Kluyveromyces lactis: one gene and its partners. The protein of the gene in region 1 binds, or shares a complex with, the protein of each later gene. Links are inferred from orthologs where the notes say so. Each region holds a gene or a part of one and is shown in the gene's direction. Other genes may lie near its edges. The genes, in order: RPC10, RPA49 and RPC17.

Region 1 (2,039 bases):
TGAGACCACGGTTAAGACGAAACAGGATGTTTCTTCTGACGATCAAGATGAGGATTACTTAGAGTTGCAGAAGCTAACGGCGAACCAGGTTGATCAATTTGTGCAGAATGCTATTAAAAGCGATGGGGAGGACGAGGTACCGGAAACACTAAGTAGTGGCAGAGAGACGGCACTACAAGCGGAAGAGCGAGAAGACATAAAAGAGGAGAAACCAGGTACTCAATTAGAGGCAGCAGTAGTGGCAGAAGTGGTGGCAGAAGTACAAACTGAACCAACTGCTGAGAAAGCTATTCCCGCTGTTTCCGTAACCTCTGTTCCAGCGAAGAGAATACCTTCTGAGAAGATCGAAGTCTCCACCAGCACAGAAGAGGATGAAGCAGCAGCAGCAGCTACGATTGTACCTAACACTGATAAATCAAGTACATACCCTGCTCCTGCAGCAATCGGCCATACTCAGAACGGAACCGTCCCTCGTGCACCAAACACTGACTCAAGCAACATACCTACTTCACCACGTATACTCACGCCGAAGAGCAACCCGTTCCGCGTAGTACATGTTGGTAGCCAACCAAGCTCCCGTAACGCATCGAGAAACAGCTCTAGGGTCTCAAGCACTTCCTCAGATATTTCAGACATAAACTTTGAACAATTACAGCAAAATTACAACTCACTCTCGGTCAAATGTACCAAACTACAAAAAGAAATCGATTACCTCCACAAATTTAAAAACGAAAGTACCTTAACGCTCGAAGACAGACGCAAACTGATCACTGCCATCGAAAAATTGCAAGAATACCTCGACAAGAAAAACAAACAACGTTACGATACAGGTGTAATATTATCCCGTCAAATAAGGAAAAACGTAGATATGGGGGCCAATGGCCAATTTTGGGTAGGAAGGTCGTAACCTGGAAATCTCGTACTACATACATACATACGTTCATTCGTGTCTATATAAATGTGTGTGTATTTCTATGCATCCTTTAAGTATTACCCTACCGTGTATTTCCAAAAGAAATTCTTCTGACCTTAGTAAGAAATTTGAATTGACAAGCTCATCATAGGAATCAGAAGCTTTGACTGAAACATACTGTCTCGGATACGAGAGTTATCCTCCGATAGTCGAGTCAGTGAGTGCGTTTGTGGCCCCAATAGTTTAAGAGTAAGTGTCAAGATGTCCCGTGAAGGTTTCCAAATCCCAACGAATTTAGATGCTGCTGCTGCTGGTGCAGCTCAGAGCAGAACTGCCACTTTGAAATACATCTGCGCAGAGTGTTCAAGCAGACTTTCGCTTTCCAGAACTGATCCCGTCCGTTGCAAGAATTGCGGTCACCGTATCCTACTCAAGGCCAGAACCAAGAGAATGGTCCAGTTCGAAGCCAGGTAAACCTGTTCCCATTCCATCACATAAACTATATGCATATAAACTATATATGTATTACAGCATCTTTCCTGTATGTACATTAATAAACGTTGACATTTAAACGTTTCTCAATTGAAACACGACTACATGGGCATCGCTAGTCGACAGACGGATGTCCGAAGTCAGCTGGGGTTATACCGGCTAATCACACTGCGCAAAATTCCTTTTTCTTTATGTGATGGAAAATCTCTGAGAAAACTTTATGATTTTGGGCAGCTTCACCATCTAATTTTAAAATCAAAGAATAACGTCACCGTTAGATTTGCATATATCCACTTCCAAACTGAAAAGACGAAGTTTGACGGACGTTTTGTGGACCATTTGAGCTAAGGCTTGATAGGCAACTGTTTGGTGTGATTAGTGAAGAGAGAGTGGGTGCTTTGAACGGTGCCAATATCTGCTTTTGCGTGTATTATCTTGTTTGTTGATTTTGGTGTTTAATTGAACGTTTCTCTCCTCAAACACAACAAAGGATCAGTGCTTTTTTTTGATAGAATTGAAGTCTTTTGCGAGGTCAAAAAGCTGTATCTTAGGTTCTTTGTATACCCCAGTTACATCTTTCTGTTTCTCTCTAGTGGTTGCCTGTGATTTTTTAGATCGATAGGGTTGTGTCCGA
Region 2 (3,175 bases), on another chromosome or scaffold:
ATCACAAGTGGTTACTTCCAGAAAAATGCGGCTTTCCTATTGTAGCAAAGATAGCTAGCGAAATGCCACATGTAAGCCTCATGACAGACTTTGAAGCTATCTCTAAAGCCTTCATTTCCATATTGGACGCTGAGCAAACAAATACGGAGAAAGAACCGTAAAAATCTAGATACATTCAGTATGCTTTTTGACGTGGCTCTTAGTATGCATAAGTAAAGAAACATACCTGTAAATAGTGTGAATTTTTCATGACACAATAGATACAATATAAGGAAGTTCTTCAGGTTTTAATTGTGAAAACATAATTGATATGTCACATCACTCTTCCATAACGTCAAATAAGACTTTCAACCATAGTGAACAAGCCGAACATTGCACCAATACGAAATATCCACCTCCCTCATAATCTATCGCATGTTCTTCCAAAGCATCTTCGGTTAATTGGAACCCATCAGTTATTTGACACCTGGGACAATTCATCGAAAAAGATTGTTCATCTCCGCTGTAATCGAACAGATCTAGAGAGAAAAGATCTAGACCATCACCTGCATTGTGAAAGCCAAGTTTCTTGAACGATTCAGCAAGTTCCTCATCATATTTTTTCCTCAAATCCTGATCAATGAGGGTCTGGTAAGCTTCCTGGATATCAGTAACAGAATGACTAGATGTATTGTTTCCGTTGGAATTATAATTCAATCCAGATTTATCAGGATGTGTTTCCAGTAACATGGCCCTATAAGCTCTTTTAATTTCGATATTACTGGCATCGCTTTCAATGCCCAAAATTTCATAGAAGGATCGTTGCATTATGATAACTGGATGTTCTGCTACAGAACCACTCAACTTGGTATAAGTGCTGACATAGCTTTTTGTTGATGTCTGTCAACATTTCAATGAAATATCAAAAGCTAACCTCATCGCCTCTAACAGAGCATTGAACGAAATACAACACAGAAATCTATGAAAAAGCAGGTTTAACATGCAGCAGAAAAAGTAAGGCGTCCTGACTAAGCTTGGTGTAACGAGGTACTATAAAAGGCATTTATTAATCTGGCAAACGGTCGAAGTTTCGTCTTTCCAACTCAATAATCCAATGGTTCGGTCACATGACTCTTGTTTCTTTTTCCTTGATCGAAAAATTTTTGGATATGCGATGAGATGAGATGTAAAGCATCGATCACAAACTATATTGGGAAATTAGTACATCATTGAAAGGTATCCCAAGGTCCGAAATAAGCTGACTGTGTAGTAACTAAGAGTGTGGAGATGGGTTCCAAACGTGCATTCACTGAGGTTGGTGTTTCAGCTTATCATGATGAACCATCTGTTGCTGTAAGTAGCTTCTTTAAGGGCTTCCAGGCACCAAAAGATACCACCTTCGAGCTATATAAGAACAAGAAGAACAGCGACAAATACGTGTTACATGGTGAAAACGATAGACTAGAATATGAAGGTCAGACTGACGATGATTTTGTTAATTCTTCTCAGTATGTTGTTGGTGTTTATGATGCCGCCACGAAGTCTGTAGAATTGTACAAGGCACCACTGGTATCCAGCAAGGTTCTTTCCAAATCTAGAAAGAACCTAATGGGACCTGACATTAAACAGGCTAACGTCCGTGCTGCATTGATGAGAAACGCTTTAGGTGAGGCGTTCGGTACTAAGAAGGCAAAGAAGGCCATTGCTGATATGGAAAGAAACCGTATTGATTCAGACAAATTGGTTGATTCTGCGATAGATATTGTAGACACAGTGAAGACTGCTTCGAAAGAACTGCCTTCAAAGGAAGAACTGCAAGAAACTGTATCTTCTGATAGACCAACTCCGTTGGCTGATTTAGACGCAACAGATGTGGAACAAATTTATCCTTTATACAACATAATACCCAAAAAGGAATGGTCATTTATTCGCGTTGGCAGTATCATGAAAGAGCAAGACCCAGAAAAGAGGCTAGAATATTTCCCATACACTAAATTTCAATATGTGGCTAACAAGTTGCCAACTCTAACACAAGCAGCACAAATGCAAAAATTGCAATTACTATATTATTTATCACTTTTGGCTGGGGTGTACGATAACAGAAGAGTTAACAACAAGACAAAATTATTGGAAAGAATAAACAACCCTCCAGATGCCCTATTAAATGGCATTTTGGAAAGGTTTACCATCTCTAGACCTGGTCAATTTGGTAGATCAAAAGATAAGTCATTCTTTATCGATCCACAGAGGGAGGACAAATTGCTATGTTATATTTTGGTAATTATTATGCATTTGGATAACTTCATTGTTGAAGTCCCACCTTTAGCTCAACAACTAAACTTAAAGCCTTCCAAGCTTGTCAGTCTCTTCAAAATCTTAGGTGCTACCGTTAAGGGTGCTACTGTAGCTCAAGCTGAAGCCTTTGGCATTCCAAAGTCTTCTGCCTCAACGTATAAAATAGCAACTTTGAAGGTACCATTCAAGCTACCAGAAATGATTAGAAGAGGTAAAGGGCCAAGAAGGTAGCTTATCCCTATGATTTAAGTAGAACATGCGTTTGTATAATACTTTTTTGCAATTGATCTACACTTCTTCAGAAATCTATTTTACTATATAAAGAAAAAGAATTATTCATCTCGTATTATCAACCTTCATCTTATAATGATCAACTAAAAGAATACAGAAAGTGATGGTATAATCGAGAAATTAGAACTTAAACATCATATATAGAACCTGTGGATATGCAAGATGTTGGGATAGGTGTCGATCTGGGATCTACCGAGTTTAGAATAGGTATTTTTGATTATTATACTGATAGCCTAGTCAAGGAAACGAAAGAAAAAGTCCCTTATTTTAGGCATGGAAATGGGATCATTACCCAATGTACCTCTGATATTTTAACTGCTGTAGAAAAAGCATTCAATACTTTATATATCCAGGAGTACAACATTTGTTCATTGGGTGTAGGAGCAACTTGTTCGATGGTGGTTGGGAAACAGAAAGATGAGAACTTAATTCCCTTCAATTTGATTCATGACAAGAACGGTAGATATCACGATATCATTTTTTGGATGCATTCAGCAGCTATAGAGGAGACGGAATATCTCAACAATATTACAGACGAATCAATCTTATGCCACTTCGGCGGGAAATTTTTCCCTGAAATGGCAATCCCGAAATTGTTGCACTTGAACAA
Region 3 (2,436 bases), on another chromosome or scaffold:
AGGCTGCCGGTGGTCAAGGTATTATTTCCTCATTCTATTTGCAAAGTGATGATCTTGATGAAATTGATATCGAATGGACTGGTACTGATACTACTCAAGTTCAATCCAATTTCTTCTCCAAGGGTGAAACTACTACATTTGACCGTGGTGCTTTCCATTCGGTGGACGATCCTCAAGGTTCTTACCACAATTATACCATTGATTGGACTAAGGATGAAATCAATATCTATGTCGACAGTGCACTGGTAAGGACTATCACCAGTGACAATGGTCAAGGATACCCAGAGTCTCCAATGCGTATTTTCACAGGTATTTGGGCTGGTGGTGATTCCCAAAACGAGCCCGGAACCATTGAATGGGCAGGTGGTTTGACCGATTATACCAAAGCTCCATTCAGCATGTATTTGAAAGACGTTATCGTTGTTGATTACTCCACTGGTACAGAATACTCATACTCAGGCACCGATGGTACTTGGGAATCTATTGAAGCTAATGATGGTGAGGTGTATGGTAGATATGATCAAGGAGTAGCAGATTTCGATAAGTTAGCTTCTGGTGGAAGCGTATCAGACGACACTTCATCTTCATCCTCCTCATCCTCCACATCTTCATCTTCAACCAAGACAAGTGCATCTCCATCTACATCCAAATCTTCATCCACTTCCTCATCCTCATCTTCATCCTCATCCTCATCCGCATCATCATCATCCTCATCCTTATCCTCATCCTCCCCCACTACGACTTCTAAATCTAGTACCACAATTCCAACTACTTCCACTGAAAGCACCTTGAACACAACTAGTGCTTCATCTACCAGTGCTTCATCATCCAGTATTACTGCATTGAACACAACATCTTCCTCCACTTCCCTATCATCTTCTTCAACTCAGTTGAATACAACTGAATCTCTAATAACTTCCACGGAAGAACTTGTGACCACAGGTTTCTCATCTTTGGTCACTACCACCGCTGCTGACGAAGAGATCACATCGTATGCCACTGGCGAGACAAGCTCATCAGCTGCTTTAACATCCACACAGTCAGAAAACGCTGCTGCTTTCAATTTACCGCAATTGCTTGCTATCATTCCAGCACTTCTACTTCTCTAATAAATAGTCATTTTGTAATATAAACTAACCTCGTTGAATTTTAATAGGTGCATCTTAATCGCTATGGTACCAGCATCAGCCATGCAACTGGTATGCACAAAGCAGGATACGTATACCCTGAGCACTTGTTTCGTTCATCTAAATCATGATACACGGGATTATTTTTCACCGCTTCGAATATATTGAAAGCCATGCAAAGAGAAGAGATGAGCTGAGTTGAGATCAAAGAGTAGCAAGTAATAAAGACTGTATCGGCCTATACTGAATTATCCAAGTAAAAAGCTTCTCATATAACAAAATTCCAAGAAAATGCGCGTGCTTGAGGAAAAAAACGCTTTTATGAGCGACTACGAAACTTTGCAGTTCCTCATATCATTACAGAATCAACACCGATGGACCTCTGGATCAAAATCAGACAGGAAACACAACAAACCATACTACCATCCAGAACTGCAAACGATAACCAGAGACACGGTAAGGTACATAACACAGCGTTCCACTACAGCAGAAGACCCAGAAGAACCAGAAACGTCGGACAAGACCGTACCCAATAACGCCAACAAATCCACACTGCTGAACCTAACTACAGACCAATTCTCAACACTAATGCAAGAATTAAATGCTTTCCCACTATACAAAGCAGAAAAACTACAAATAGTGAACCAATTACCAACAAACTTGGTCCATTTGTATAGCATAGTCGAAGAGTGCGAATCAAGACTTGACGAAGGTCAGGTGACCTCGCTTCTCGAATGCATCTCCCGCACGTGCCTCTAATTATTATACACCATAATACAATATCTATAATGTTTAAATGCTTGGAGAAAAAAATCACATATAACAGACCGAAATACAATGAGAAAAAAGATCAGGAACATGAGTTTCAATGTTTCCAAGTGACAGTATAAGGGAAAAAAGGGATACCCTAGAATAAAGTAGTTATCAGGGCTTCTGAGTGGGTTAGACTTGCATCAGGACCTTTGAAATAGCTGATACTGATAACGATGGTAAAATTTGGTGAACATTTGAAGCGATCTTTGATTCGTGAGTACAGTTATTACTATATCAGTTACAATGACTTGAAGACGGAGTTACAGGAATCCTTGGAAGCTAACAACGGAAAATGGAACGAGGATTTGGAGACTCAGTTTTTGGAGTCCTTGGAAATTGAATTGGATAAAGTGTACACTTTTTGCAAAGTGAAGCATAACGAGGTAGTGCGTCGTATCAAGCAAGCCCAGGAACAAGTTTCTGTCGCTGTGCGTTCTTTGGATACAAATGTTCCGGTTACAGATTTGGATTTCCAAATCTTAGAAGAAGAATTGTC

What was found.
Region 2: RPC10 (region 1) and RPA49 share a complex: the UniProt entries of both Saccharomyces cerevisiae proteins name them as parts of the RNA polymerase I (Pol I) complex. The link is inferred for Kluyveromyces lactis from reciprocal best matches to the Saccharomyces cerevisiae genes RPC10 and RPA49.
Region 3: RPC10 (region 1) and RPC17 share a complex: the UniProt entries of both Saccharomyces cerevisiae proteins name them as parts of the RNA polymerase III (Pol III) complex. The link is inferred for Kluyveromyces lactis from reciprocal best matches to the Saccharomyces cerevisiae genes RPC10 and RPC17.

The regions. Positions count from the first base shown.
Region 1 is NC_006040.1:683,824-685,862, forward strand, and holds RPC10 (DNA-directed RNA polymerase core subunit RPC10), read left to right. Parts: upstream 1-1,174; coding exon 1,175-1,387; downstream 1,388-2,039. Other genes in the region: BNI5 (Bni5p), read left to right, coding at 1-907. UniProt on the Saccharomyces cerevisiae protein: DNA-dependent RNA polymerases catalyze the transcription of DNA into RNA using the four ribonucleoside triphosphates as substrates.
Region 2 is NC_006039.1:266,301-269,475, reverse strand, and holds RPA49 (DNA-directed RNA polymerase I subunit RPA49), read left to right. Parts: upstream 1-1,266; coding exon 1,267-2,505; downstream 2,506-3,175. Other genes in the region: KLLA0_C03003g (uncharacterized protein), read left to right, coding at 1-161; JJJ3 (Jjj3p), read right to left, coding at 319-807; MPA43 (Mpa43p), read left to right, coding at 2,721-3,175. UniProt on the Saccharomyces cerevisiae protein: DNA-dependent RNA polymerases catalyze the transcription of DNA into RNA using the four ribonucleoside triphosphates as substrates. Component of RNA polymerase I (Pol I) which synthesizes ribosomal RNA precursors.
Region 3 is NC_006042.1:2,114,203-2,116,638, reverse strand, and holds RPC17 (DNA-directed RNA polymerase III subunit RPC17), read left to right. Parts: upstream 1-1,418; coding exon 1,419-1,886; downstream 1,887-2,436. Other genes in the region: CRH1 (transglycosylase), read left to right, coding at 1-1,109; VTC4 (Vtc4p), read left to right, coding at 2,114-2,436. UniProt on the Saccharomyces cerevisiae protein: DNA-dependent RNA polymerase catalyzes the transcription of DNA into RNA using the four ribonucleoside triphosphates as substrates. Specific peripheric component of RNA polymerase III which synthesizes small RNAs, such as 5S rRNA and tRNAs.